Pelodiscus sinensis: one gene and its partners. The protein of the gene in region 1 interacts with the protein of each later gene in a pairwise test. Links are inferred from orthologs where the notes say so. Each region holds a gene or a part of one and is shown on either strand. Other genes may lie near its edges. The genes, in order: UBE2K, RNF138, RNF167 and DTX3.

What was found.
Region 2: the proteins of UBE2K (region 1) and RNF138 interact in binary tests that used the Homo sapiens proteins (3 or more experiments, as listed by UniProt). The link is inferred for Pelodiscus sinensis from reciprocal best matches to the Homo sapiens genes UBE2K and RNF138.
Region 3: the proteins of UBE2K (region 1) and RNF167 interact in binary tests that used the Homo sapiens proteins (3 or more experiments, as listed by UniProt). The link is inferred for Pelodiscus sinensis from reciprocal best matches to the Homo sapiens genes UBE2K and RNF167.
Region 4: the proteins of UBE2K (region 1) and DTX3 interact in binary tests that used the Homo sapiens proteins (3 or more experiments, as listed by UniProt). The link is inferred for Pelodiscus sinensis from reciprocal best matches to the Homo sapiens genes UBE2K and DTX3.

What each region holds. Positions count from the first base shown.
Region 1 is NC_134715.1:92,844,510-92,852,099, forward strand, and holds the start of UBE2K (ubiquitin-conjugating enzyme E2 K), read right to left. Parts: upstream 3,010-7,590; 5' UTR 2,462-3,009; coding exon 2,290-2,461; intron 2,127-2,289; exon of another isoform or gene 2,112-2,126; coding exon of another isoform or gene 2,079-2,111; intron 1-2,078. UniProt on the Homo sapiens protein: Accepts ubiquitin from the E1 complex and catalyzes its covalent attachment to other proteins. In vitro, in the presence or in the absence of BRCA1-BARD1 E3 ubiquitin-protein ligase complex, catalyzes the synthesis of 'Lys-48'-linked polyubiquitin chains.
Region 2 is NC_134712.1:72,524,422-72,531,803, forward strand, and holds the start of RNF138 (E3 ubiquitin-protein ligase RNF138), read right to left. Parts: upstream 3,016-7,382; 5' UTR 2,816-3,015; exon of another isoform or gene 2,679-2,815; intron 2,289-2,678; 5' UTR 2,269-2,288; coding exon 2,162-2,268; intron 1,493-2,161; coding exon 1,327-1,492; intron 1-1,326. UniProt on the Homo sapiens protein: E3 ubiquitin-protein ligase involved in DNA damage response by promoting DNA resection and homologous recombination.
Region 3 is NC_134734.1:8,450,821-8,458,579, reverse strand, and holds the start of RNF167 (E3 ubiquitin-protein ligase RNF167), read right to left. Parts: upstream 3,018-7,759; 5' UTR 2,858-3,017; intron 1-2,857.
Region 4 is NC_134729.1:2,734,364-2,741,817, forward strand, and holds the start of DTX3 (putative E3 ubiquitin-protein ligase DTX3), read right to left. Parts: upstream 3,014-7,454; 5' UTR 1,208-3,013; coding exon 855-1,207; intron 136-854; coding exon 65-135; intron 1-64. UniProt on the Homo sapiens protein: Regulator of Notch signaling, a signaling pathway involved in cell-cell communications that regulates a broad spectrum of cell-fate determinations.

The DNA of each region.
Region 1 (7,590 bases):
AATCTCTGAATTGCAGAAGTTGTTGATCTGCCCCTCTTCCATCCTCTTCTAAAACTGCATTTGGCTGGTTCCCACTTAGCTAAGTCCAGAATGCACTTTTGGAAGAATGTAAATGGCAAACTCTGTACGTTCTCTCTCCAAAATGCAATATGGTAGCAAATGCCATTTGGTGGCATTTGCAGGGAAACAGATTGCCAGCTTTTATGTTCAGCTATGGCTTGAGACATCACTCCAAGAATGTTTAAGAGTAGATAAGATCAGCAACTTTTCCTTGATGCAAGACAAATTTTAAATTAAAACACATTTTAGCTATATAATTTGTGACAATCAATTTTTCTTGATAAAGTTGTGAATTCAGATTGCCAAAGTACAAAAATATCTAGTCATACCTCTGTACATCTCATACTGAATGTTTTCACACTACCGCTGGAAAAAAGTTTAATCGGACTTTGAAAAAAATCAAGTCAAGGTATTCCCAATACATGTATCTAGAATCAGTGTGTCATTGTAATAAACATCCACAATTACATCAAAGAAGTATGTATTCCGAATACCCATGAAAGCCTGTAATATAAACAGTAATTATATATGTACTGATAGAAATAGCTGAATCCTGGGAGGGGATGGGGGGATAATGCTCTTTAATATTTAATTTACAAGATGCAGGAATCCTGCCAAGAGTAAGGGTTGTCTCAAAATTCACAAATTCAGTTCACCCAAACAAAGTAATTTCTTTTTTATCTTCAATGTAATCAAAATCTCCGGCACATATATTAAACAGGAATTTAAAACAAAATTGCTCCCTGAGTCCCAAACTTGTCTTAAGAAAATTAAAAGATCTAACCATGTTTATATCACTGATGCATATGGCAAGGTTTCTCTTTCTAAATAACACAAGGGGGAAATTTGGAGTGCTCTCTTATATAAAGGTCTAAGCAGTCAACTTTAAGATGTATTGTTCAGAGAAAGTAAACACTTTGGGATATTCTAATTTTAGCATATAAATACACAGCTGACCATTCAGGATCTGTTCTAATTTAGTATTTGGGTTCTGTAATCATTACACACTGGAACTCACATTGAAATCAACTTGAGCATCACATGCATAATAGCTGTAGAAATTAAGCTCTAAGATTTTGTGGAGAATAGTTTATTTTGAGCTGTGTAACAATAATGCCGTTAGCACATTATATTCAGAAGGACATCAACTAGACCAATTCTAAACATGTTTTCTGTAAGCAACACAAATCCTCAGGAAGTTAGTAGCATCTTGGTTTTCTGACTATGAATCTAGCTGACTGGTACAGTGTCTAAAATCATCGGTTTTCAGAGTCAAACTGCACATTAATATTTCACAAGCATACAACATGCCTCATCATCCTCATGAGTATGATGGTGATGACACAAACATCAAAACCTATCTCGCTGACATTTACCAACACAGATTTACAGACAGCGAAAATAACTCTGACACAATCACTGTAAATGCTATTCTATAGTCCCTGGAAATACACTTAAAGTTCTTTATCACTTCCTCCTTTCCTTAATTACTGTACATCCCTTACAGGGAATGTATCAAGAATGATTAATAGGGCACCGGGATGTCAGGTGGAGAGAGGGTTAAAGATATGCACACCAAGGTGACATAACCTATGTTGGGGGTAAAAGGAAGCCTTGGATTAAGGAAATCTAGTTAAATGGGCTTTTATTTAAAAAAAAACCACACACACAATGTATCACTCTGCAGTATAAGCCACAGGCTAACGAGGGAGCTGGATGAAATGGGACGTGTGTTCTTACCCATCCTGTCTTTGCCCCATCTCCATTTAGGTCGCATGGGAAAGCCTCTCCCCAGTGCCCCAGCCGTAAAATAGAGGAATCTCCCGCTGTATCCGTGGGCAGGGGACCCCGGAGACGACACCTCCCCACACACGCGCGCGGCCCGCCCCGTTATTAGGCTCCCCTGAGCCTTCTTTTTGGGCCGACCAAACCAGACTGGGTGGTGGAGGCGGCGCTTTTCCCGGGGGTTTCCCGGCCTTGTCCAGGCATCTCGCTCGCTGCCCGGCCACACTTCCTACCCCTTGCAGGCCTGCCCCCGCGCCGAGAATCATCCGCTGCCGGAGCGGGCCCAGGCTCCCCGTCCCCGCTGCTGGGTCCCTCATCCTCAGGAGCCGCCGTTACCCTCCCCCTCAGCCGAGAGGCTGGGACAGACCCTCCCCCAGCCGCGGGAGGAGAAGGAGGGACTGTCGGGCGCCCCGCACACCGCCAGGGCCGGGGGGAGTCTCTGACCTCCTCGCTCTTCAGCACCTCCTTGAACTCCCGCTTGATCCTCTGCACCGCGATGTTGGCCATCTCTGCAGCCGGCAGCCACACGCCGCTGCCTCCGAGCCGGGCCCAGCGAGCTCCGCCGCTCCCGCTGGATAATTCCCGGCCCCACCAAAATGGCGCCCGCGTCGAGCATGCGCGGTGCGGCCCCCGGCGCCTCTCAGGCGGGGCCAGCACGGTGTGTGTGTGGGCAGCCGATGCAGGGAGCAGAGCGGCCCCTGAGCTGGCGGGTCCGCGCTGGGGGGAAGGGGCTGCGCGGGACTGTCCCACTGGCTCGGCGGGACGGGTAACGCCCTGCTGCGCCGCCGCTCCGTAAGCGACACCCGCCACCCGGCCTGTCACGGGAGGAGCCGCTTTCCTGCACACGCACAGCGCGAGGTCCCTGCGGTGACACCCCTCACCCGCCAGCCGGGCAGAGCTAGGGCCGCTGGGTTGTGATGAAGCAGCTGTGTCATCCGCACGGTCGGCGTGTTGTTACACGCACGTGTCGCTCAGCGCTCGCCTCAGCAAGCGACGGGTTAACAAGCGCCGGGTGAAACGCGCCTCCCTCAGAGCCCGGCGGAGCGGGGCCGGGCGGGCTCTGGGCTCTCCCCTGGCGGCTGGAGTTGGGGCGGCAGAACTCGAGAGGCTGCAGCAGCGAGGAAAGCGGAAGGGCCATTCAGCGCCTCAGCCTCCGAACAGCGCGCGCGAGCGCCAGGGAGCCGGGCTGCTAACGGGCTCCTTCCAACCAGAGCTCGCGGACATGCCTGACCCCTGGTGGCCGCTCGCTGGAAGGAGTAGGACTGATGTGTGGGCCTTTCCAGGGAGCGGGGGAAGCCTGTAGTTCAGTAGTCTCCAGCCTTTTTACACACCAAGCCAAGAGCTACCGCCCCGCCCCTTCCTTAAAGCCCCGCCCTCTCTATTCTCCTCCTCTCCATCCCTTGCTATCCCCAATCTTTATACTGCTAGTTTGTTTGTTTTGTTTTAATTCTTCTGTAGGAAGAGGGTTTTCCAACATTTGCCCTGTCTAGACTGGACCAAATGTCAGAAAAACCCTTTCTTTTGAAAGGCCCTTTATTCCTCATGGAAAGAGGAATATAGGGGTGACCAAAAGATCATGTGTGCTCTTCCACTAAAAAAGCAGAAGAAATTAGTCGAAACAATAGTAAAGAATAAATTTGTGAAGCATGTAGAAGAACATAATTTGTTGGACAAAAGTCAACATATTTTCTGTAAAGGGAAATCCTGTTTTACTAATCTATTAGAGTTCTTTGAAGGGGTTAACAAACATGCGGACAAGGGGGATCCAGTAGATATATACTTAGATTTTCAGAAAGCCTTTGACAAGGTCCCTCACCAAAGGCTCTTGTGTAAATTACATGGCCATGGGATAAGAGGGAAGGTCCTTTCTTGGATTGAGAACTGGTTAAAAGACAGGAAACAAAGGGTAGGAATAAATGATAAATTTTCAGGATGGAGAGGGGTAACTAGTGGTGTCCCCAACGATCAGTCCTGGGACCAATCCTTTTCAACTAATTCATAAATGATCTGGAGAAAGGGGTAAAAGCAGTGAGGTGGTAAAGTTTACAGATCATACCAAACTGTTTAGGATAGTCAAGACAGAAGCAGACTGTGAGGGACTCCAAGAAGATCTCACCAAACTGAGTGATTGGGCAACAAAACGGCAAATGAAATTTAATGTGGATAAGTGTAAAGTAATGCACATCGGGAAAAATAACCCCAACTATATGTACAGTATGATGGGGGCTAATTTGGCTACGACAAATCAGGAAAGAGATATTGGAGTTATCGTGGACAGTTCTCTGAAAATTTCTACACAGTGTGCAGCGGCAGTCAGAAAGGCAAATAGGATTCTAGGAATTATTAGGAAAGGGTTAGAAAATAAGACCCAGAATATCTTACTGCCCCTGTATAAAACTATGGTACGCCCACATCTTGAATACTGTGTACAGATGTGATCTCCTCACCTCAAAAAAGATATTTTGGCCTTGGAAAGGGTTCAGAAAAGGGCAACTAAAATGATTAGGGGTTTGGAACGGGTCCCATATGAGGAGAGGTTAAAGAGACTGGGACTTTTCAGTTTAGAAAAGAGGAGACCGAGGGGGGATATGATAGAGGTATATAAAATCATGAGTGGTGTGGAGAGGGCCGATAAAGAAAAGTTATTTATTAGTTCCCTAAATAGAAGAACTAGAGGACACCAAATGAAATTAATGGGGAGCAGGTTTAAAATAATAAAAGAAAGTTCTTCTTCACACAGTGTGTAGTCAACCTGTGGAACTCCTTGCCAGAGGAGGCTGTGAAGGCTAGGACTATAATAGAGTTTAAAGAGAAGTTAGATAATTCATGGAGGTTAGGTCCATAAAAGGCTATTAGCCAGGGGATAAAATGGTGTCCTTGGCCTCTGTTTGTAAGAGGCTGGAGAGGGATGGCAGGAGACAAATTGCTTGATTTGTCTTCGGTCCACTCTCTCTGGGACACCTGGTGCTGGCCACAGTCGGCAGATAGGATACTGGGCTAGATGGACCTTTGGTCTGACCCAGTACGGCTGTTCTTACGTTCTTAACAAACGCATCCCTGGATGCAGAAGAGTGTTTCTGGGATATCTCCAGAATCCTGAAAAACTCCTGCAGTCCAGCTGTACCCCCACCGGGTTGAGACAGGATGTATAGGCTTTGGGGTGGAAATGAGGGATTTGGGTGCGGGAAGGGGTGAGAGGTGCAAGCTCTGGGAGGAAATCTGGATGCAGGAGGAGGTGGAGAAGGGGACACTGGCTTGGGGTGGGGGGTCTAGGCTGGGCAGAGTTGGGGTACTAAGCAAGCCACTGGCTTGTGGATGTGAGGGTGCAGGAATTTGGGTTGGGGTATGTGAGGGGCTCAGGGCAGAGGGTTTCTGCAGCAGGGAGCAGAGTGCCAGCGGGGGAAGGTTTCTGCAATGGGGGACAGGTTTCTGCAGTAGGGGGCAAGGTGCCAGTGGGGACTGATTTCTGCAGGGGGGCAGGTTTCTGCAGAGGCAGGACAGGTTTCTGCAGCAGGGGGGCAGGAGGGACAGAGTTCTGTGGCTGGAGGCAGGGGAGAAGGAACGGGGGCGGTAGGGCAGGGACAAGGTTCTGTGGCAGGAGACAAGGTTCGGGGGCAGGGGAGAGGGAACTGGGTTCAGGGGCAGGGTGCCAGTGGGGACAGGGAGTCCCCTACACCAGCCTCAGAGGGAAGCCTCCGTTGCGTGCTCCCTCTAGGGCCGACACTCTCCCCCCCCCCCCCCGGCGGAGGAAGGATGCCCCATCGAGTGCCTCCGCCGGACACCCCCCCCCCCGCAGAGCAGGGAAACCCACGTATGCGACCCCTCAGGGCCGACACACACACCCCCACACACACGGAGAAGGGAAGCCTCCGTTACGCGCCTCCTCCGGGCCTGACTCCCCCTCCCGCAGAGAAGGGAAGTCCCAGCACACACCTCTGGGGACTTACCCAGTAAGTTTCTGGAGCACCAGGGAGCTGGGGCAAGGAAGCAGCTAGCGCATTTCTGGAACGCTCGGAAGTGATGCGCAGCTTTAGGACTTCTGTCCTCCCCGTGGGAAGCTGCCACTACCTCCATTGTTGCTCGAGGTAGGTAGTGGGGCTTCTTGGGGGTGGGGGAAAATGGAGGGTCCAGAACACCTTGCGATCGACTGGTCGTGATCAACTGGTTGGTGACCACAGCTGTAGTTCCCTTTGCAAAAACAACCATGTCCTGAAAACGTGCCTGTTTTGCCTAAATAACCCTAAGAAAGAGGGACTTTGGGAGCTCTTAGCCCATATTTTTGAAGGGAGCTGGTATCCCCAAAGAAACCTTTATTTTGTTTACTCGTTCTACGACAAGACTCTGGAAAGATCAAGTGAAGGCTCAACATACCTGCCCAGTGGACAATAGTACTTTGGAACTAGACCTCAGAAAAGGTGAACTATGGTGTAGCCAGATAATGTGCCAGCAAAGGGGCTGGAGCAAGAGCTGAGGCAGTGGCCATATTGATGAAAGAAAAGTAGGCCACACCGTTGTGATAATATCAACATAAATTGATACATTTGGAGGATAACCCAGCTAAGGTGTAATCACACTCTTAGAAGTGTTGTTCACATGGGCATTAAAGTCTCCCAAGAAATGAATAAATTCACAGCTCTTCTGGTAGTATAAGAAGCCAAGGACAGATATGTCAATTCCTGGATGATGCACAATGTGAATGTTGTATCCTGACAATTAGAGAATAATTACCTATAGTCTCAATGGTGCCACAGAGAATGGTTTCTTTAGAACTGACTCAGACAGTTTATGATAAGGATGTTAATTATCAGGCATTTTGCATTGACTATTTGATTAGTTGATATAGGATGCCTCCGTCTTTGAAGTGTAGCAACAGCCATAGGGCTGTTGCTACACTTCAAAGGTGAAAGCATTGCGTGGAGCCTACGGTCAGAAGGGGGGGACTCCCCCACTGACCCCAGCCTCCATGCAGCGCTGCTGCTTTGAAACACCATGTGGCATTTCAAAGTGGCAGTGCCACACAGAGCCCAAGGTCAGCAGGGGAGTCCACAGTTGATCCTGGGCTCAATGTGGTGCTGCCGCTTTGAAATGAAATGCTGCAAGGAGCCTGACATCAGGCTCCCCGCGGCATTTCAATGCGGCAGTGTCGCACTGAGCCCGGAGTCAGCTGGGAACTCCCCAGCTGATCCCAGGCTCCACACAGCACTGCCACTTTGAAATGCTACGTACGGCCTGGGGACACCTGGGGCAGCGCCACATGGAGCCCGGGGTCTGGCTCCAAGCTTCAAGCAGCACTGCCGCTTTGAAGTACCCCATCTTCTTCCCCTCCTTGCTGCCTCTATCTGGAAGCCCTGGGTCGGCACAGCAGCGGGGCAGTTGTAGAACCCCAGCCGGGCATTGCAGCAGCAGGGCAGTCATGGAGCCCCATCCCTGGGAAGCCTCAGCTAGGCAGGACAGAAGCAGGACCATGGCAGCTAGGGAGCTCCATCCCCAGAGCACTCTAACCAGCTGGCAGAAGTGGGCCAGTGCCAAGCCCAAGCAGCAGGCTGGAGCAGAGCCAGCCAAAGGGAGGTGCAGTGTCCTGGGAGGCTGGTGGCAGAGGACCAACCCTGATTGGCTAATTCCCTCATTCCCTCACATCACACCCCAAAAAATATGGCTGGCAAAAATTTGTAGCTTAGACCTGCTCTACATCTTTGTTACAGAGAAAACTTAAAAAATAATAAATAGTCTTGCAGTCCTCCCCAT
Region 2 (7,382 bases), on another chromosome or scaffold:
CCCTTCCCCTTCAGCAATAATATAATACTTCATGATGTAAGCCCTCTTGCCACTTATGCAGTAAGTTACATCTCAAACTAACATTTTTAAGGAATCCTATTGTCAAGCAGGAGCACTGGATCCCTTGAGCATGACAAAGAGCTTAATACAATGGCCCCCAACGCGATGCCCACGGGCGCCATGGTGCCCGCCGGGGCATTTATGTGCACCCACCGAATGATCTGGGCCGGCCCCGCCCCCGGCACGTGATGCGTGTGCGGTCCGGCCCCAGGCGCATGGGCAGCCCCACCTGTGGGCACATGGCACATGGGCGGTGCTGGTCCCGAGTGCGTGGCGCATGGGCAGTGCTGCCCGCAGGCGTGTAGCACATGCCCGAAAGGTTGGGGACCACTGGCTTAATAGAAGCAAGTGAGAGCAGGACAGCTAAAGGGAGATTAGAAAAATGTCCAAAGGTTCATACCACAGCTAGTATGCTCAATTACATATGCAAGTGATTTTGTTATTTCCAGCTACCAGGTTGCAACTCAGTGTAAATAGCATTTGGTTTTATAGCTTATAAACCACAATGTTTAAAAGATTCCCTTGTCTTATTTTATTTTAACAGAGATCATGAACAACAAAGCCTCATACTCAACACTATTAATGATGGATCACACACAGTCCTCGGACACAAGAGTGAGTAAGGGTAGTATGATATAAACAAAACCTATTGGATGAAATCCTGCCTCCATTTAAGCCAAGATTCCTATTAACCTCAAGAGGACCTGGATTCCACCCATAGTGTTTTGAACATTAGCAATCTCTTTACTAAAGTGAAAGCCAGAGAGATTAAATAATATGGTAGCGTTTACTGGTTGTGCTTATTGCTATTTGTATTTTTTGGTGCTCTTCTACTGTAAATTTGAGCATTTTAAAAAATATAGCACATTATTATAAGGTCTTGGATATATTTTCTAGCTGTTCTCCATTTCTCGTCCATGTTCTTTTGTCCACTTTTAGAGTTCTTTTTATTCATTTCTCTCAATTATTTGTATTTATGGAGAGGCCCATCAATTTGGCACTTTGCAAAAAAATTAAAACTTTCTTAAAATGCAACTTTATTTCAGCAGCCACTTTATTCCGATTTCAAAATTTGTTTGATAGCTAGGGACAAATTCTTAGATGCACGTGTGTGCACACCTGTCTCACTTGAGACTTGATGCTACAAGGTACTAGTCCCTGTAAATTACTGGACGTTAATGACATATAGCAGCATGAAGGATCAGGTCCCAAGTAAGGAAAGCTTATTCACTTGTAACAAATAAGTAACTTTTGTCTTTACTCCACCTGCTTTTCACAGCATCTACAACCTCCAGAAAGCTTCTTCATGTTGTTTTCAACATCCAGGGCTCTTCTGGGACATGATCTTTCTTTTTTAGTCACAGTTCCCCGGCACAGAGGACAATGCGTTCCACTTTCTCGTATTGCTGTCAGGAAACATTTCCTGCAGAACCTAATTTCAAAGTTAACACAAGCACGCATTAGTAAAATAAAAGCTAGATGGGTCAATATTTTCTGTGTTAGCTTCAAAGATGGTTAAGTAGCTATATTATTATTTCTAATAAAAATATTAGACATGCTTTGAACTAGCAGAAAGTTCCGCAGATTAGGGTAAGGGATGTAAAAGCCTGTTTGATTAACCAGTTAAATGTTAACTAAATGGTTGGCTGGAGCAGCCTCCACACCAGGGGCAGGGGCTGCTCCAGCCTGGCTGCTTCGCTTGGGGTCAGAAGCAGCAGTGGAGGAGACAGGGGGTTTATGGGCTGGGAGCCAGCATCTCCTGCTGCTGCCATTTCTGGCCCCTAGGGCTAGAGCAATCCCCCCATGCCAGGTCACAGGGCTGCTCCCAGGTAATGTATCAGAGGGGTAGCCGTGTTAGTCTGAATCTGCAAAAGCGACGAGGAGTCCTGTGGCACCTTATAGACTAACTGAAGTGTAGGAGCATAAGCTTTCGTGGGCAAGGACCCACTTCGTCAGATGCATGTAGTGGAAATTTCCAGAGGCAGGAATAAATATGCAGGCCAGGATCAGGCTGGAGATGACGAGGTGGACCCAGGTAATGGTTAACCACTACCCAATAAGCACTGCCCATTCAGGAAGGCCAGGGGCAGCAGATACCTACACGTGTTGGCAGGTAACTGTCCTCACAGGCGTTTTGAACACCTCCTGGCACACTGGACAATAAAAATCCTCTTCATTGAAGCAAACAGTGGCAGGTTCCTCGGCCATGGCAGTGAGTCTTGACCGCTCTGTGGGAATAAGGGGGAGGACGATCACTCCCTCGCTCACTTCAAGCGACATGAGGCTGAAGCGGGTTGCCCGCGTGGAGGGATGAAGAAGGGCTGGCGGGGGAGCACCCCTTTGCCCCCTGCAGCCCGCCCGCCCTCCCTGCTCCCGGCCACTGTGGGGCGAAGCGGGCGCAGGGGCAGGCGCGGCCGGGGGAGGCGCCGGTCCCTGTGGCAGCGAGGGCCCTGGCACCGCGGCAGGGAAGGAGGCTGCGGCCGGGCTGGGACTGCGGGAGGGGCTCGGGCTTTCCCTGGCACAGGCCCCACTGTCCCTGTTGCTCGTCAGACCGGGCCGCGTAGCAAGCGCCGGGCGCCCTCCCCCACCGCCGGGGCCGAGAGCGCGGCCCGCGGTACCTGGCGGGAGCCCCTGAGCGGGGCCGCCGCTGCGGTGTGGCCGGGTCCCTCAGCCGCAGCCCCCGGCGGCCTCCATGCTGCAGCCGGGGCCGCCGCCGCAGCTGTCCCGGGGCGGGCCGGGTTTCCATGGCGATTACCTCCTGCAGGGCCCGGCGGGATTGTTATGAAACAACAAGCGCGGCCCCCGCGGCGCGGCCCCCTTTCCGCCCCCGCCCGGGCCCTGCGCCGCCGCTTCGCTGCAGCCGCCCCTCCGCCGCCGCTTCCCCTTTGCGTCGGGCAAGGAGGGGCCCACGCGGCGCCGGCAGTTCCGGGGCCTTGGGCGCCCGGCCCGCTCAGTCTTCCGTGTGCCCCGCCGCTGGCCGGCCCGGCCCCTGGGAGTGGACTCGCCTTCGCCCGGGGGCCAGCCCAGCCTGGAAGCGGTGGGGCCCGCCCTCTTAATGACCGGCTGTGGCTTCTCCCGAGCCATTGTCTTGCCCGACGGAGCTTGTCCACTGCCCCTCGGAAGGAGACCTTGGCTAATGCAGAGGGGGCCGCGTTTGTACTTCTTCGATGGGGAGTTAAACCCCGATTGCAGCCTCCTATTGTAGCGGCATTGGTGCAACCCCCCCCCCAGGGGAGTATCGGTGTTGGGTGGGTAATTGACTGGCGGGACTTAACGCTTTTGGAAAGGCTCAGGGGGGCCCTCTCCAAAGATTTTGCTCCAGGAATATTTCCCCTAAGCTAACTCGAGAAAATACTAACAGAGACAATCCTGAGTATTAGGGGTTGGCGCTGGGACAGCTACACTGATGGCTAAAATGAAAGCTCATTCCCAGTAGGGATGTTAAATATCCCTGACTTGAATAGTGGAGTAGCCTCATGAAATTGTATCTGTTAGTCGACTAGGCCAGTGGCGTGCAACTTTTTTTCATTTGTGACCCCCACACTACGGGGGCCGCCAACAGCCAGATCAAAGTGCCACGCCGCACGGCCGCCAACAGCTGGGCCCAGCTCCCGGCCAGCCGCATCAAAGCACCACGCGTGGCCGGGCCCAGCCCCTGGGCAGCCAGATCAAAGGACCACAACCCCCAAGGGGGTCGCAACCCAGAGGTTGCGCACCACTGGACTAGTCTATAGTCCCCAGGGGCAGGGCCAGCAGCCACTGTATCAGAGGCAGCAGTGTGGGGTGCCAGGTGGGAGCTGGTCTGCCAGTTTAAAAACCAGCTCCCTCCACAGACCAGCGTCTGTCACCCTGTGCTGCTGCTTCTGAGAAAGAGGCAGAGATGGGGTGGTAGCAGTCCCTGACTGGGGGCAGGCGGTCTGAGCTCCTAGACCAGGCTGTCTGCTTGCCTGGCTGGCTCTTAATACATTTGAAGTGCAGAGCTGAAACAAGGATAGGTCCTGGACCCAGCATGAGCCAGGCTGCCTGCCCACCCAGCTCCTAATACAATTAAAATGCAGAGCCGCAGCAAGGGTAGGTCTCGGACCCTTCGTAAGCCAGGACTGAGCCAGGCTGCTGGCCAGCCTGCTAAAAAATTTACTGGCGGGGGAGGGAAAGAAGAAAATGCGTGTAAGCCAGGCCTGTACAACTTGGAAAGTGGCGAGGGCCATATTACTCCAAAGAAAACAGCTCTCCCAAAAAATACTGAACACGCGGGCTAAAAAACCCACATGTCTCTCCACTTGGCCCCCTGGCATTTGTCTCTCCTGCACCCTGCCCCTTGCTGCCTTCCCCTTTCTCCTGACCTGTCCCCCTTCCCACAGCACAAGCCCCTTCTCCTTCCCCTTCCCCTCCCCCTCTGGCTTCTACCTTCCAGTTTGTGGGGCTGCTGGAGCCTTTTTGAATCTGGCAGTCGCTGGCTGTGACGTCATGATGCCACGTCATGCCGGCATCCCACCCTCTGGCTCGCACCCCACCTCTTCGCTCCAGAGCTGCATGTATGCAGCCTTGCAGCGAGAATCGCCGCACTTCCCCCCTCCCCGGTGGCGCTGCGCTCCTCCGCCCGGCCAGGGGATTGGATGGGGCCACGCCGCCTGTAGTCAGCATGGGCTGCACAGTGAGCCCCTGCGGGCCACATGCAACCCTCAAGCCTGTATGTTGTGCAGGCCTGGTGTAAGTGTCAAGTGAAAGTTTTATGACACAGCGAAATCCATAAGCTTCAACAGAGAAAAGGGTTATAAAAGCAGGGTGCTTTGCTATGGAACTTTGGGTTCGTCTTGCCACCAACTCCAGAAGAGCATTGGATTGATCAACCGACAAAGGCCCTGCTCCTCCTCTGTGTTTGATCTAGCTGGCCAGTAGATTGATACAGACTCTGGACTGGTAACTAGGATAGCGTGTGGCGGGACTGTGTTTGTGTATTATGTTTGTGTGTGAATGATTGAAAAGCATATGCAAGTTGTATTCTCATTAAATGTGGCGTACTGCCTTTCCCCCATAAAAGATCTCACATACTTTGTTTAAGCATAACATAAGTCTATAGCATTAACCTAGAAGCAAAATCTTATCGGTTAATTGGTTAATCGACTATACTATTACATCCCTCATTCCCAGTATAGAAGAGCCATTGAGCTGTAATGAGAGGGAACAGGCAATATTCCATGTACAGAAATGTAGTTGTAAGAGTATCTAATACGGAATTAAAACTGCTGACCTATGCTGAGCAGATTTCTTAGGAGGAAAATGGAAGTGTCTGCAGGTGGAAAATGTTAGCATTGTTGGCCAGCATGGTTTGCAATAATATAATTTTGGCCTTGCTGGGTCACACCAATGGTCAGTCTAGCCCAGTTTCCTGTCTTCTGACAGTGGCCAATGCCAGGTGTTTCAGAGGGAACAAACTGAACAGGTGATCCCGCCCATTTTCTGCTTCCTTCTCCTGGCAGAAGTGGCCACAGAACTGCCTTTTTCAGTGTCCACCCATCATTCCCAACAGCCTTGCTTTCCAGTTACAGTGTGTTTTGGGGAAATGTGGCAAGTTGTCTTGGATGAGTGTGACAGTCCCTGTTGCCAGATGGACGTGAGTTGACTGAGGGGCTGTGTATGCACTTGACTATACTATGCAGGCAGTGATATGGGAGAATAACATGGCCAATGGCCATGATTATATTGTGACTAGCAATTGTGGGGTGTCGTTTTACATGTCTCGTGCAAATGGAGTGACCAGACTGCAAGTATGGAAAATCAGGACAGTGGGTGGGTGAATAATTGGCACCTAAATATGACAAATATTGGGACTGTCTCTATAAAATTGGGACATCTGGTCACCCTACAGGCAAACAATGAAAAGTGAGCCAACTCACAATTTTTTCCTTATTCCAAATGGCCACCATATCCTTTTACTGTCAATAGGGGGTGAAGCCAGAAAGATGGCTATTTCCTTACATGCTAACTGCTTGCAGAACTGGGTCTAGCCTTAAAGGTAGCTTCCACTTCCACTATTCCCAGTGAGATTTTAACCAGGCAAAATGGCTGCCACTCTGGTTCAAGTGGTAGACGGACACAGGGACTGCAGGGAGTGGCAGTGGCACTGTGAAAGGTGGATGGGAAGAGTGAGGAGTTGCAGGGGAATATAGATGCAGAGGATGGTGCTAGGGTGGGAGATACAGGGATTGATGGCAGCTCCCTCAGCACTGGGATAGTGGTGAGCAAGAAGGCCAGGTTATAATATTATTTCCAGTTGCCACAAACTGATTATGAATCAGGGGATGTTGGTGCCTGCAGAAGTTGTCACAACGATATGAGAAGTTCCTGTGGAGCAGTGATTTTCAGGGCTGGGCTTATGGGCAGAGCTCTGTGCAGTAGTCTTGGGGCTAGGGACACAGACCTGCCCTGCCTTTGGGGAAAGGCCTAGATCAGAGAGATGTGTCCTAGAGCAGCAGCAGGAGGGAGTATGGTGCTGCTTTGACCTTAACAGAGGAGAAGTTTCTAGGGAAGGAAAGAAGTCAGAAAATTGCTGGCACTGGATCACAGACTGAGAAGTCTTGGGGCAGGAAGGCAGAGAAGCATTGCTGTTATGTGAGGACAATAACAGAAAATAAATGGTGATTCCCCTGTATTAGAGGTGAAGAGAAGGTAAGTGGAGTCTCCCACAGAGGAAGTAGAGTTAGGTGTGTATTTTTGTATGCACTAAAGTAGACGAAGAGGGAGGAAGTTGGAATAAGCATTGGAGCAAGGGCACGGCATTTAAGGTTGATGGGATAGTGTAACCTGGCAATACAGAGGGTGGATGGGCAGCCAAGCATAGATGTAGCCTCCCAATTCAATCAATCACTGTACAAAACTATAGTATAATTGCAGTAGGAAACAAAGCAAAATATCGAGAGTCTGAGACAATGAAAGCATTGGGAGGCATGAGAGACACCTGGCCTAGGATGTAGTGGGGGAGGTGGCTTTACTCAGAATTCAGGCATAGCTGTTCAGAGCAAAGAGAATTCCAGCCGTGAACCCATTGTCCTGTCCTTGTGTCCCTTCTGCCTGGAACTAGGAAAACCACATAGTCCTCTTTTTGGGTAGTTTGTCTCTTGTCTAGCACTGAGATATAATCAGGTGTGGCTGGGTCTGGTATCCGACAGGATGGTACTATTCCGAAGGGCAGGCAGCTCCAGCCCTGTGTGTGAGATTACACCAATGGGGTGGAGGTTGTGCACTCTTTAGACTGGTATTTCCCATCTAGCGTGACCAGGGTCATGTTGGTAAGGACACGTCTGTGCTGTTTCTAGAAGTAT
Region 3 (7,759 bases), on another chromosome or scaffold:
AAAGCCCTTTTCCAGAGGATCTTTTATTCCTACTTGCAAGTAGGAATAAGAGATCCTCCAGAATAGGGCTTTATTCCGGAGGATCGCGCCAGTCTAGACGCTCTTTTCCGGCTTTTCCCCAAGCCGGAAAAAAAGCGGCAGCCATGTTTATTTAAATCCCGCGGGGGATATTTAAATCCCCCGCGGATTTCCCTATTCCAAAGTTAGAAATTAGCATGCCTCTTCCGGAGAAGGGACCAGTGTAGACGTAGCCCTCAGGAGCTGGACTCTGCGGGCACTGCAATGCTTCCTCATAAACAATACTTCAGCAGGGTCACCCTGAGGCCCATGCCTAAGAGTCAAAATTGGCCCAATCTTCTGGCAGTGAGGAGGGAAGGAAGGACCCTGCATAGATGCTCAGGGTGGCGAGTGCACAGCAAGCCTTGTTGGGAGTCTCAGATCTGCCCCCCATTGCATCCCAGCCTGTTTGCACAGGGAGATGGCCCTGGGGCTCGTGGATAGAACAAAGGGCCTATTCATTACCCACGAGACTGTGTAACCATGGGCAAGGACACTGAGGTAAGTGGGGCCCAGAGCTCAGCCAGAACCAATGGGCTATCGCTCCATGGGAGATACTGGGGCCAGATCCCAGGCGGGACCAATCAGGGGCCTCAGATGCATTATACCCTCTGGGTAGCCAGCCCCTGATTTACAGACAGCACTGTGCAGCTTCACCACAGACCATACCAGGACTTCTGAGTTCTTCAGAGCCCAAGTGGATCCTGGCTACAAACTTTAACAATTCCCATCCTCTCATGTCAATTTATCATCCCTGGCTTCTCCCAGCAGCAGCAGATCCTGAGCAAGATCCAGGGTGACACTCCCACCCAGCTACCACCCTCTGGCTAAGGGGAAGAGAAGGCTGGCAGGAGGGCTGCAGGGAGGAAGTGAGGGGCAGGAACCCCGTGGTTCTTTCCCCATTTCCGAGGGCAGCTGTACCCAATGGGAGTGAGATTAGAAGGGGAAGCTGGTGGCCAAGGGCAGCTGTCTGGCAATGCCATGGCTGGGGACAGAGATGGCTGTGTATATGCTGCAGGGCCCAGGGCAGGGGCTGACATTCTAGAAGCTGATTAACTCAGGTGTAACCCATGCTGGATTTACACGTGGGGCACACAGCTGAAGGCACAAGTGGCAAACACAATTTGGCTGGGGCACCACTCCATTCTGGTTCCTTATTGATTTAACCCCACTCCCCGCCCTGAGGCAGGGAGAGAACCCAGGAATTCTGGCTTCCAGGCCCCCTACTTTAACCCACCAGTCCCCATTCCCCTCCCAGAACTGGAGCAAGAACCTAGGAGTCCTGGCTCCCAGCTCCACCTGCTGAGCTGCCAGCCCCCACTCCCCTCCCAGCATTGGGCAGAGAACCCAGGAATCCTGGCTCCTAACACCCTCCAACCACTAGCAAAAACTCCCTTTGAAAAAAGCATGATGGGCCCAGATCTCAGCTGTGAGGTGGGGTCAGCGCTTGGCCAGGCCCTCCAAGGGCCCAGATCTCAGTCAGAGGGACCTGCAAGGAGTAGGGATGTTATCATATAGTCATTTAAATGATTAACCAATATGCCTGGGCTTACTGGTTAATCCAAATGACTATATGCACACACCCCCTTGCTGCCTCTTGCTGGTGGGCAGGCAGCAATGTGGGGTGGCAGGGGGCTCCCCAAGAGTGGGGCAAGGAGTGCACTGGCTGCCAGCCCTGCCCCTGGAGAATATTTTAGTAATCGTGTAATGATAACGTTTTTGTGACGACGCGATTACTAAAATGAACATTAACATCCCTAGCAGGGAACCCTGACCTGACCAAACAAGTCTGGGTGAGGATCAGAGGCTGATGCTCTGTTTCCCAGTCTAGGCTGGGAGGTGCTTGGCTCCACCCTGGTAGAAGGTGCAGTGACATGGCTGCCGGAGGGATGCAGGGCTGGTCTCTTTATGCCATTGGCAGAGGACCACGGAGCAAAGTTCCAGGTGGCATGGCCAAGATCAGGAAAGGGCTGAGCAGGAGCAAAGAGCCAGCACCAGGCTAACAGAGTAGTGGGCAGGGCCAGGACTTCAGGGCAGGGGGAGATTTAAGCCCTGGCAGTTTGGAGCACTTAGCCCTGGCCCCACAGGGCAGTAGCCTTTGAAACAGCTCAATCCACCTCTAAGATTAGGGGTTACATTGATACTGGTGGCCCCCTGTAGTAGGGCACCACACACACATGGGGCTGTCCCTGCTTTGAAAGCTTACAATATAACCAGTGAGACAGGCAATGAGTGGGAAGGAAAACTGAGGCACGGAGATGCCAGGAACTGCCTAACAGGTCAGTGGCAGAGGAGAGAATGGAATATAGGTGTCCTGAGTCACAGACTTAGGCTGTGCCCACTAACCATTTCTGCCAGTCTTCTTTCCGTAGTCAGGGGTCATGCAAACTGCACTCCCTTTCCCCGGGGGGGGGGGGGAGGGAGAGGAGGGGTGCGAGGGGAGTCTTGGGCTGCTGCCTCAGCAGTGCCCACTTTGAAGGGGGCACAGGGCACATCTACACTGCACGGGGGGTGGCACTAGCTCACCAACCCAGCCCTGTGATGCAGCCACCTCGGGGCCAGGGCGACCGGTTACACACGGACCCCTCCCCCGGCAAGGAGATGCAGCCACGTCTGGGGCGGGGCAGCCAGTTACGCAGCGGGTCCTCGCCCGGCGCTGAGAGGCGCCCCAGCATTACTCCCTCTCCTGACTGTGCTGAGTATGGTCTCCTCTGTCTGACCCCAAACCGCAGCAGCACCCCCCTCCCCCAGAGGCCCTCTCTTGTTTAGCTGGTGCCTGTAGGGGCAGCCCCACACTGACCTGTGCTGGCTCCTGCAGCAGCAGGGTTCTCTCCCTGGAGCAGGGCGGGGTCTGGAGCAACGGCCCCCCGCTAGCTGCAACAAGGGGGGGTCTCCCCTCTAACACCTTCTGTTTACAAATCCTCTTCCCGGGAACAGGGAGCTCTCGCGAGAGGAGGCGGAGCAACCCCGCCCCACAGCAACCCGGGCGCCTGGGTTCTCTCCTGAGCTCTTTGGGGGGGGGGACTGGGAACCAGGACTCCTGGGTCTTCTCCTCGTTTCTGGGAGGGAGTGAGGCTAGTGGGCTAGAGCAGGGGGGCTGGGAACCGTTCTCTCCCAGGCTCTGGGAGGGGATCGGGGACTGGTGGGTTAGAGAGAGGGTCTGGGAGCCAGGTGGTCCTCACTTCTGATCTGCAGCCCCTTCTAGACCAGCCACCACCGCCACACGGCTCTGCATTTGTGGTCTGGGCTTCCTTTGAGCTGAGCAGTGCATCAGAGACTGGATAGGCTGAGACACACCAGTTCATGGCACGTGTGACTGTATTGGAAGCCAGCTTCACCATATCCCTGCTGATCTCCAAGCGGGACCTGATGTGTTGGTAACTGGTCATAGGAACGTCTGCAGGGATTTTCATGCAGCTGCACGGTGGTGTTACCAATTGTTGTACAGGTCATTTGCTGTCACCCAGTCTGCCCTCACCCTGGTGTTTGCAATAAGTGTGGCAAGCTCACTGACTGGGGCATGAAGAATATACATACCACAGACACCTGCAAAAAAATTGAACACAGTGGGTCAATTGTGTAGTTGTCCAGTTTTGTCGCATTGTTTCCCTGCCACTCTCAAGTTGGTTCTTGTCTGCTATGTTGATAAAGGGCTCTTTGTGGCGAGTGTGTTTGTACAGACCCTACTGTCATGGGTCCAAGGTGGAGGAGCTCCTGGCTGCTATGGTAAGACACCTAGGCTGTGTCTAGACTGGCAAGTTTTTCCGCAAAAGCAGCTGCTTGCCAGCTGTCTACACTGGCCGCTTGAATTTCCGCAAGAACACTGACAAGCTCATGTAAGAAATCAAAATACAGGACTATGTAGCACTTTAAAGACTAACAAGATGGTTTATTAGATGATGAGCTTTCGTGGGCCAGACCCACTTCCTTAGATCAAATAGTGGAAGGAAAATAGTCACAGCCAAATTTTCTTCCACTATTTGATATGAGGAAGTGGGTCTGGCCCACGAAAGCTCATCATCTAATAAACCATCTTGTTAGTCTTTAAAGTGCTACATTGTCCTGTATTTTGTTTCAGCTACACCAGACTAACACGGCTACATTTCTATCATGTAAGAAATCAGTGCTTCTTGCGGAAATACTATGCTGCTCCCATTTGGGCAAAAGTCCTTCTGCGCAAAACTTTTGCGCAAAAGGGCCAGTGTAGACAGCTCAGATTTGTTTTGCGCAAAAAAGCCCTGCTCGCAAAAATGGCGATCGGGGCTTTTTTGCGGAAAAGCGCATCTAGATTGGCACGAACGCTTTTCTGCAAAAAGTGCTTTTGCAGAAAAGCGTCTGTGCCAATCTAGACGCTCTTTTCCGCAAATGTTTTTAATGGAAAACTTTTCCGTTAAAAGCATTTGCGGAAAATCATGCCAGTCTAGACGTAGCCCTAGTCTATAATAAAAGTGACATAATTAGTCTAAAGAGGGTCAGGTCTGGAGGCGCTAAGCAAAAACCACCAGAGTGCTTTTTGGAGATGGAAGAAGGGATTAATTTCTAGGGGGTTCCCGCCTGCAGTGAGGGGAGGAGCTCTAGTCCCACCACAATGCCCTCTGTTGCTGTGCTGCTGGAGGTGGTCTCTGCTCCGTATCTGTAACCACACTGGCCCTGCTTCAGCTTACAGCCGTGCCACCCGTCTTGCTGCCAGGTGCTCTGCTGTTTCTCTAGATCCCAGCCCCTGTCTGCCCCATGGAGCAGAAAGAGAGAGGACAGTCTCTCTCAGCTCAGCCAATGGAGAAAGGAAACAGAGTCTGGGAAAACCACTAGGCAGTGCTTTTTAGGGAAGCCGGGGTTGGGGGGTTACCGGGCTGGCCTCAGAGTGTAGGAGTTCATTTTCCCCCCACCTGCCCCATGGCTTTGCCCAAGTCCAGATATGGTGTCACTTTCTGCCCCAGTCAAATTCCCCCTCCCAACTAGCTCACAGAAAGGGAGAGAAATCGGTGCAACAAAACACTCTAGGAGCTTGTATCTGGCCTAACTTTGCCAAGATTGCCACCTACAGGTGCTGGTTCCCAGTTCCTTCCCCTGCTCCAATAGACCCCACTACTCTCCCAGAGATGGGCATAAAGCCCAGGAGTCCTTAGGAGAGGGAAACTGTAGGCTGCAGCATGAGACCTGAGGCACCAGAAACACCACAAACATGGGGTTACTGGGCACCTTCCCAGACAGCTGGGTCTTTTTATTTGCATGGGCCATGGTGCCATCTAGTGCTAGATGCACTTGCAGCAATTCATGCCTCAGCACCAGGAAAGCACCTTTCCTCCCTCCGGGAGGCTCTCTTGTCTCTGTGCTGCGAAGCCACATGGAAGCAATGAGCAGGACTGTGCATCTAAGCTGAGCTTCCACTCTGGTTTGAGCCCAAGCCCCCATCCTGTCCACAGGCAAATCTGTTCGACTCAGGTTAGCAAGTGCTCCAGGTCCCAAACTCTGCAGGACCATAGTTTGAGCCCTGCTGTAATTCATGTCCAAGGCCTGTCATTTGGCAGTGATGAGAGGAGGCTGCATACCAAATTTGGTGGTCCTCGCTCTTACTGTTAAGGAGTTCTTAAACAAACAGATAGGAGTACATTTCTAAAGTATATAGTAGGAAGAAGATATATGTCTCACATCCCCAATTAGTTCAGCATCTGCTCTACTGAATGCATTCTCAACTCCAAATCAACAAACAAGCTGGGCAGGTGCTGGATCAGTAAGACAGCACACCTCATGGAGCAGTCCCACCTCTTGGAGCCCTAGGCATCCTGAGAGCACAGGGCTCTGTGCCTTGTCCCTGAAAGCTTTGCTGTTGGGGGGGGGGGGAGATCATCTTGACCCCATTCAGGACTCCCCTACAGCGAGACACTCTGCCCTAGGGAGGTGGAGGAAGCAGTACAAAACCTGGGGGCTGGACCCTGTTGGGACTCCCATTTCCCACTTTAAACAGAGCTTGCTTGCAAGCCTTTAGTGACTGCACTGAGTAGAATGGGGGAGGGGGGCTGAGACTCAGTGTAACCACCGTTTATCTTCTTTCACACTATTCACCCCCCAAACATCAATTTCTCTAATTTCAGCTGCTGTTTGCACTTGCTCTCAGATGGGGTAGCAGCATTCAAGCGACAGCAGTCAGAGGGAATGTAAGGTGCCTGGCACAATTTGTGGGGGGGCACTGAGACTGCTCCAGGAGGTGTGCTATCTTGCTGATCCAGCATCTGCCCAGCTTGCTTGCTGATTTGGAGTTGAGAATGTGCTCAGTAGTGCAGATGCTGAACCAACTTGGGATGTGGGACATATATCTTCTTCTTAGGGATGTTAAATATCGGTTAATTGAATAGTTGAGTAACCTCATGAATTCTTATTGGTTAGTCGACTAGTCTATAGTTCCTGGGGGAGCGGGGCCAGCAGCCAGTGCACCTCACTCCCAAGGATGCCACTTCCACTCCATGCTGCTGCCTCTGTAGCAGCTGGAGCTGGTCTGTGAGGGGAGCCAGTTAAAAAAACATCTCCCTTCACGGACTGGCTGCCTGTCACTCTCTGCTGTTGCCTCTGATAAAGGTCTAGGGTGGGTCTGAGCTCCTGGACTCAGTGTGAGCCAGGTCTGAGCCAGGATGCCTGCCTGCCTGGCTCATAATACACTTTAAATGCAGAGCCACAGCAGGGATAGGTCCTGTCGCAAGCCAGGACTGAGCCGGGCTGCTGGTCTGCTAAAAAATTTACTAGCGGAGGAGGTGGGGAGAAATGCATATAGTTTATAACATTAACCGATAAGCTTTTGCTTATCGGTTAATCGATTACACTCTAACATCCCTACTTCTTCTTACTATATATTTTAGAAATGTGCGTTTGTCTGTACATCTGTCTGTGAGTCTGTTCAAGAACTCTTTCTTAATGGTATGAGCTAGGACCACCACATTTGGTAGGCAGCTTCCTCTTATCAGAACTTAAAACAAGGTCAGGGTTTGATTGTGCCAGGACAATGGGATGTGTGTGACCTGTGATTGTTTCTCATCAAATGGAAAGGGGGGGGGCTGTGATAGCAGGGACAGTAATGTTCCTGAATGACCCCAGAGGGCAGAAAGCACATGGCACAGTTATCCCCCAGAATGACCCCAGGGGGACAGTAAGCACCTCAGCTCCAGGGAGCAGACACCGGCCGACCACTGCAGCCTCCTCTGCCCAGGCCTGGCCAGGGGTATTTCTGTGCAGTGCTATTTCAGAGGGGACACCAGTGGGGTATTTCCACGGAGTATTATTTCGGGGGGGGGAGTGTCACGGGGTGGGCTGTCACTGGGGGTGCTAAGTATCACGAGGGGGAACTGAGTACCAATGCCGGAGTAGTGTCTTTGACGGGGGTGGTAGGAACCAGACCCCGGATACTAGCGCAGGCGAAGGGCACCGGTCTCCAGCCCTGCTGGCCCCTCCCCCGTTGCAGGGTGCTGTGCGTCCCAACGGCCGTGCCAACCGCCCTTCCCGCCAAAATCGGCTAGCCCACCGCGCGCACCCTCGCTCAACACCCATCCCGCCTCGCCTCGCCTCGCCCCGCCCCGCCCCGCAGGAGCAGGCCAGACTGCGCGCGCACCTCGGTCGCTTCGTGCTATCCGGCGCGTCGCAGTCTCTCCGGCCCCGCCCCGCACCGGAGCGTTGGGTGCGTGCGCAGCCCTTCCTTGCTCCGCCCCAGCCCCCT
Region 4 (7,454 bases), on another chromosome or scaffold:
GGGCCGTGCAGCGGGGGGGGGGTTCCGGGGGGGCCGTGCAGCGGGGGGGCCGGGCCGCACTTACCTGGCGAGCCCATGGACCTGCCGGCAGGAAACACCCGGAGCGCGGAGTTCAGCGGAGCCGCGAACCAGGAACTACAAAGACCGGGGGGGGGGGGGGGGTTAAGCGCTGCAGCGGCTGCCCCGCCCCCGCCGATCCTCCCCCCCCCCCCCCCGCCTGCCGGAGTCGCGGCTCCGGGGTGCCCCCTCCCCGTGCGCGGCGACAGCTGATCGGCCCGGCTGGCGTCAGCGCGCCCTCGCTAGCCCAACCCCCCCCCCCCCAAAGTTCAGGGCTCCCCCTCGCTCAGCGGCCCCCCAAGCTTCAGGACTCTCCCCATGCCCCCCCCCCCGCTAGCTCAGTGCCCCCACTTTCCTCCCAGCTCAGTCCCCTCCCCCCACCTTCCAACCTTCAGCGCTTACCCGCCCCCCCCAGCTCAGCAAGCCCCCCCCTCCGGAAGTATTGCCCCCCTCCTTCTGTGACCCCCCCCCAGCGGTTCAAGGCTCCCCTTGTCCAGGCCCCTTCCCGGGGGTCTGCCAGTAGCTGGCCAGGTGGGTGCAGGGCAGGTCCAGTCTGTGTCTGCCCCCCCCCCACTCAGAGTCCATGCCCCCCAGCACCATGTGCTGCAAACACAGCCCCTTTGTGTGGAGGGCGAGGGGGGTGGCCGTGCCCGTGGGGTGGGGGCTTGCGGGACGTGGCAGCCAGCCGGGTCTGCCTCCCACCCGCCCCTCTGCTCGGGCAGCGTGTAGGGGGGGGGGGCAGAAGGGCCCCGAGGGGTCTCAGGCCCAGCCTGGGGGGCACCTTGCGCCCATCTTACCCAAGGGGCTGCTCCCAGTCGGCCGGATCCCTCGCTAAGGTCAGAGCCCAGCACCCACGGCGGAAGGCGCTGTAGGCGGGGGGCGGGGCTGGCCGGACCTCAGTGTTTCTGGGTCGGGGAAATGTCAGCGTTGGGTTTGGCTCCGATTCAGACAAATCCCAATTTTCCTTTTGACCCCCCTGTACGCCCCATAGTCGCTCCCCGGGCCTGGCAGCCACGGACTGAAACCCACCCTTTGGCAGCTGCTGGGCAGCCAGAGGCCCTCGGCCTGCGGGCAACACACCCTGGAAAACCCAGGACTTCCAGCTCCACAGGGAGGCTGCGGACGGGAGGGGTGTGAACAACCCCCCCATTGGTTTCCTTTGAAGGGCACAGACTTCCCACCACCACCCGAGGGATCCAGCCCAGTTCCTCCCTGGGGGGTGCTGATGGAGGAAGATTTCTCCTCACCCCAGAGGACTCAGGGTTCGGTCGGTGCCCCGGGATGGGGCAGTTCATGCCCATGTTGTGTTGAGCTGCCTGTGAAGCTGTGCACACCCTCACTGGGCACGGGCCCACCCAGCCAGTTTCTCGTCTCCATACCTGTTCTCGGCCTCAGTAATATCCTGTGGCGGTGAGTTCCGCAGATCTGTGAGCTAAGAATCCTCTAAAAGCTGCTCTGCCAGGCAAGGGTCATCCCTGGAGGATGCGAGGGGGCACTTGGGGAGGCAGCTGGCATACAGAACCGAGAGGGCTCTGGCTCGCTGGGCCCTGGGGGCATGTTCAATTGGTGCAGAGGGTGCAGGGGATGGTGGTTTTGCTCCCAGTCTGCTGGAAGAGACCAGCATCTGGAGGAGGAAGTGCTGAGTCCCACCGGGGGCTGCCTCCAAACAGACCGGCTGGCTCTAGCTGGTTCCAGTAGGCCCCGACCGAGCCCTGGCGTCTCTAGCACCCAGGAGCCCCATGAGTTGTGGGTGCTGCCCTGCGAGGTCGTGTCCCAGCGGGGGTTGGAGGGGTCTGTCACTGCTCAGTCCCGGAGCCTGCAGCCAGAGCCTGGCTTTGCATCGGGGCAGAGACCTCCAAGCTCAGTGCTGCCCCACCCCCACCCCGCACGACAATGCCATGTCCGCCCCAGGGCTCCTAACTCGACAGCAGGCGATGCCCCCTCAGGCTGAACCCCAGGCCCCCCCAGCTGGGTGGCTTGGTGCCTGGTAACTCTTGGCTCTGAGGGGCCCCTGGGTGCAGCCTGCAGCCAGATCCCTGTGTCCTGGGGTCCTGCCTCCACCAGCAAGGTCTGTGCTGGGCTGGGGGGCCCTCCAAGCCCACCCAGACACTGCAGAGGACCTGGAGTGGGGGGCTCGGGGTCAGGGAGGTGTCACGTGGAGGTGGTGTGTGGCAGGGAGCAAGGTGGGTGCGGGAGCTGGTATCTGCCTCCACTCCAGACCCATCCCACGGGCCCGGCCTCAGTGCTGCTCCCTAGCCAGGGTGCCAGTGGGGAAGATGGGGGGCGCCCCCCAGATGCCATTGGCAGTCACAGCACAGCCAGTGTGCACCATCCCATTCGCTGCGTTCAAAGGCAACAGGGTGTCGTCCCCCCCGCCCCGCCCCGCCCCAGTGCTGCATTGCAATAAACACAGGGCACTGCCCCCAGGAGACCCTACAATAACAAGCCATCCAGTAACCAGCCAGGCTGCTGCAGGAAGGGACCCTCACCTCCCACCCGTCGCTCTTGTGTGGGGCTCCCGGGTAGCAAACCAGCTTGGCCAGCTGCCTGCGTTGGGGTGAGAGGTGCCAGGTTCAGGGGCTCAGCCCTTGAGGCCCCTCTGCAGTGTGCGTGTGGGGGGCAAGAGGCAGGGTGCCCCTCCCCATGGGTGGTGTGAGGTTTGCTGGCAAAGACCTTGGCGTTCCCAGCCTCGGGCCGGAGCTCCCGATCCCAGCTGGGCCCTGCCAGCCTGGGGGAGATTGGGGGTCCAGCCAGCCTGGCCACATAGACAGCTGGTACCTCTGTCCTGCCCCCAGGGGTCCGACCCAAGTCTGGCCTGTAGCCAATCCCCCTCTCCCCCCAGCATCCCTCTCCAGAAAGGTGCGTCAGGGCTGGCCCCCAGCACCCCAGTTACGGTCTCCCTTCAAGGCAGGCCCCAGGCCCCATCACTGTTGCTGGTGAGGGTGGGGGGAGGGAGGGATGAGACCCTGCTGCAGCCCAACGCCTCCCCCCCCCCCCCCCCCCGCAATGGGCTTCCTCCTAGTTCACAGAGGGGTCGGACCAGTCAGGGCATCAGGCCAGCAAGGGAGATGCAGGAACAGGGATTGGGCCCCATCAGGGCACCAGGCCTGGCATGGCGGGGTTGGGCCTAGCTGGGTGCCAGGCCCATGGGGGAAAGGGGTGGAGGGGAAAACAGCCCAGCCAGGGCATCTCGGGCACAGCACAAAGGAGCGGGTGGGATGGGGTGTGGGGGGGGGGGGGGTATGAGCTGTTCTGAGTCTCCCACACAGGCCAAAACCTGACAGAGCACAGGGACCCTTCAGAACCCCCTCCCCCCTCAGCTCAGAGCCCCAATACCCCCTTCCTTCCCCCCTCAACTGAGAGCCCCCATCACCCCTCCTCTCCCCCCTCAGCTCAGAGCCCCAATACCCCCTTCCTTCCCCCAACTGAGCGCCCCCATCACCCCTCCTCTCCCCCCCAGCTCAGAGCCCCAATACCCCCTTCCTTCCCCCCTCAACTGAGAGCCCCCATCATCCCTCCTCTCCCCCCCAGCTCAGAGCCCCAATACCCCCTTCCTTCCCCCCTCAACTGAGAGCCCCCATCACCCCTCCTCTCCCCCCTCAGCTCAGAGCCCCAATACCCCCTTCCTTCCCCCCTCAACTGAGAGCCCCCATCGCCCCTCCTCTCCCCCCCAGCTCAGAGCCCCAATACCCCCTTCCTTCCCCCCTCAACTGAGCGCCCCCATCACCCCTCCTCTCCCCCCCAGCTCAGAGCCCCAATACCCCCTTCCTTCCCCCCTCAACTGAGAGCCCCCATCACCCCTCCTCTCCCCCCTCAGCTCAGAGCCCCAATACCCCCTTCCTTCCCCCAACTGAGCGCCCCCATCACCCCTCCTCTCCCCCCCAGCTCAGAGCCCCAATACCCCCTTCCTTCCCCCCTCAACTGAGAGCCCCCATCGCCCCTCCTCTCCCCCCCAGCTCAGAGCCCCAATACCCCCTTCCTTCCCCCCTCAACTGAGCCCCCATCGCCCCTCCTCTCCCCCCTCAGCTCAGAGCCCCAATACCCCCTTCCTTCCTCCCTCAACTGAGAGCCCCCATCGCCCCTCCTCTCCCCCCCAGCTCAGAGCCCCAATACCCCCTTCCTTCCCCCCTCAACTGAGCCCCCATCGCCCCTCCTCTCCCCCCTCAGCTCAGAGCCCCAATACCCCCTTCCTTCCTCCCTCAACTGAGAGCCCCCATCGCCCCTCCTCTCCCCCCTCAGCTCAGAGCCCCAATACCCCCTTCCTTCCCCCCTCAACTGAGCCCCCATCGCCCCTCCTCTCCCCCCTCAGCTCAGAGCCCCAATACCCCCTTCCTTCCCCCCTCAACTGAGAGCCCCCATCGCCCCTCCTCTCCCCCCTCAGCTCAGAGCCCCAATACCCCCTTCCTTCCCCCCTCAACTGAGCCCCCATCGCCCCTCCTCTCCCCCCTCAGCTCAGAGCTCTCATCACCTCCTTCCCTTCTTCCCCCTCAGCTCAGAACCCCCCCATCGCCCCTCCTCTCCCCCCTCCTCTCAGACCCCCATCGCCCCCTTCCCTCCCCCTCAGCTCAGACCCCCATCGCCCCCTTCTCTCCTCCCCCATCTCAGAACCCCCAGTCTCCCCTCCCCCACCTGCCCTTCCTCCCCCCAGCTCTGCGCATCCGGCAGGACTCACCCTCCCCCCCGCTCACACTCGGGTGGGTCGCGGACACGGGTGGGAGGCCGTGGCCCCCTCCCCCACCGCCGGGCTCGACCCTCGTCAATCTGCAGCCACAGGCAGGATGCTGCGCGCCCCCTCCCTTGGCCAGGTCTGTTTCGTCCCCCCCCCCCCCCGCCCGCCCCCGCACAATGGCCCGCAGCGCCGGGGAAGCTGCTTTTGTGCATCCGGCTGCGCCCCCCGGTGCAGCCAGAGCCGGGGCCACGCAGCCCCCCCCCCGCCCTGCGCCCCATCTCTGAGTCCCCGCCCCATTTCTGCGGCCCCCCCCGCCCCTGCAGCCCCCTTCTGAGCCCTCCTGCCCCGCCGATCTCGCCCCCCGGCCGCCCCGTACCTGGCCGCGCAGCCCCCGGGCGCCGCGGGGCGGGAGCGATGGTCGAGGCCATGGCGGGCCCGGCGCGGGCGAGGGACCCACCCGCTCCCGGCTCCTCTTCTCGGGGCGGGCGCTGCGAGCGAGGGGGCTGCGGCGGCGCTATGGAAACCGGAGGGGGGGATGGGTCTAGCGGGGGGAGGGGCAGGAGGCGGCCGGGGGGGGGCTTTGTGCCAGTGCCCACGCCTCCCCCTGGAGTCCCCACTGGGTACCCCCCCATCCTGCCCAAAGCCCCACAGAACCTGGGGGGCAGGGGTGCCAGCACGTGGGGGGCACCAGTGCTTGGAGCCCCCCCTGCATTTGTGCCCCTCGGTCCATCAGTCTCTGCACAATCCATGGGGGGGACCCAACCCCTTTGGGCCCCTCAGGGGACCAGGGAAAGTCACCCCCATCACAGGCCCCCAGACTCCTGGGGGCTGGGCCGTGGCACAGAAGGGGGGCAGGAAGCACAGCCCAGCGGGACGGTGGCCCCGGCTGCCAGAGCTCAGCCCAGCAGCCGGGGCCGGTGGCTTTGCTTGCAGCTGGGCTGATGCCACAGCTGGGCTAGGCCAGTGCGCTGGCTCAGTGCCAGCGCAGACCCCTCCAGGCCCGGGCTGTGGGGCACATACAGGGGTCCCACCCCACAGGCGATGGGGCCGATAGCAGCAGGCACTGCCCAGGTGGAGCTGGAGCCACGCCCCGACCCAAGTTACAGGCAGGCTCCACAGCAGAGGGGGAAACTGAGGCAGGGACAGGCGTTGCCCCAGGACCCAGCAGGCTGGGGGGAGGCAGGAACAGAGCTCAGCTGTCATGGGTTCCGGCCTGTCCTACCCCAGCCCTTCCAAGGGGCTACAGAGGATGCCAGGCCCTGGGAGCTGCTTGGCCAGGTGGCTAGGGGGTGGGGGGAGAAATGCCCCCAGTGCTCAGAGGAGGCAGCACCTCAGTCCCTAACAGCACCATGCTGGGGTGTGGATGTGCAGGAAGAGGTGGCACCAAAGGTGGGTATTTCAAAAGGCAGCAACCCAGGGCAAGGGGGCTCCCCCCCCCCACATTATCTCCCACCCCTAGCAGCAGAAGCAGCTGGAGGAGCCAGTGTAGACACTGGGGTGCCCGAGTCTCCCCCTCCCCCCAAGTGGCAGTAGCCCCAGCTCATGCTCAGGCTGCAGGGGTCAGGAAGGAACCACCTGTCCCTGTTGCTGCCCCCAAGCCTCAGTCTGTCTCCCTCCCCCACCCCACCCAGCAAGGGCTGGGCACTGCCCCACCCCCCATTTCCACCCCTCCCCCTGTCATGGGCCAGGTGGAGCAGGGAGCCAGGCAACTGTCAGTCAATAATTTATTTCTAGCCAGACCCAGGGACAGGACCACACCCGCGTGTACAAGAACAGAAGGTGCAAGGCAGGCGTGTCCGCAGCGCGGGCCGGGGGCAGGTGTCAGGAGCGGGCCCCGCCCCTGCAGGCTGCCGGCGCACCATGGCGAAGATCCGCATCTGGGGCTGCAGTCACCAGCCTCCCCCCGCCGGGGAGAGGAGCAGCTGCTGTCTGGGGCCTGGCCAGTGCTGCCTGTGGGGCAAGAATCTCAGAGCACCTGCTGGGACCCCCCTGGGATAAAGGGTTCCAGGCCGGGGCGTGGGAGAAATGCCAGCAGCAGGCCCTCCCCCTCCACGTGACCGTGGGAAGCCTGGGCAGGCACAGCCACTGTCCAGCACGGGCCCGGACCTGCGCCAGCTGGTCACACGCTGCCCGAGCGAGCGCCTCCTGCTGGCGGAGAGGCAGAGCTGCACTTCGCGGCTGCCGGTGTCATCGGAGCAGGAGGGAGGGGGCTGCTGGAACACGGGGCAGGTCCTGGCCAAAGCAGCCGAGCTGGGGTCCAAAGCCTGGCCCAGCCGTGGGCCCCAGGGATGTAGTGTGAGAAGAGGGGCGGGGAGCCCAGTGCAAGTTAGTGTTAACTCCCCCGCCCCCCCAGCCGGGAGATTTCCCCTAGGAATACATTACACCGTGGGACAGGCCCAGAGAACCACCGCCCTGCGGGGGGGCAGGGCAGATGCACATGGGGGGACTGGATGGGAGAGGGGAGCCGTGGCTATCCCCAGGTTCGGGTAAGGGGGTGGGGTTACTCTCATGGGGGAGGAACCTTTCTGCCCCCCCTAAGGCACGGAAGGGTCAAATCTCGTATTGCATATTGCAGGGCCCAGGGGGCCCCTCTGCCTCAGATGGGCAGAGCTCAAAGGCCCCCCCGCCGGCAGCACCCTCCCCCCCCCCAGCGCTGCAGGCAGCAGGGCAGAATAAGTTAAGGCACTTGGTTTGCAACCGAGCCCACCTGGGCCCCGGGCTCCGAGCT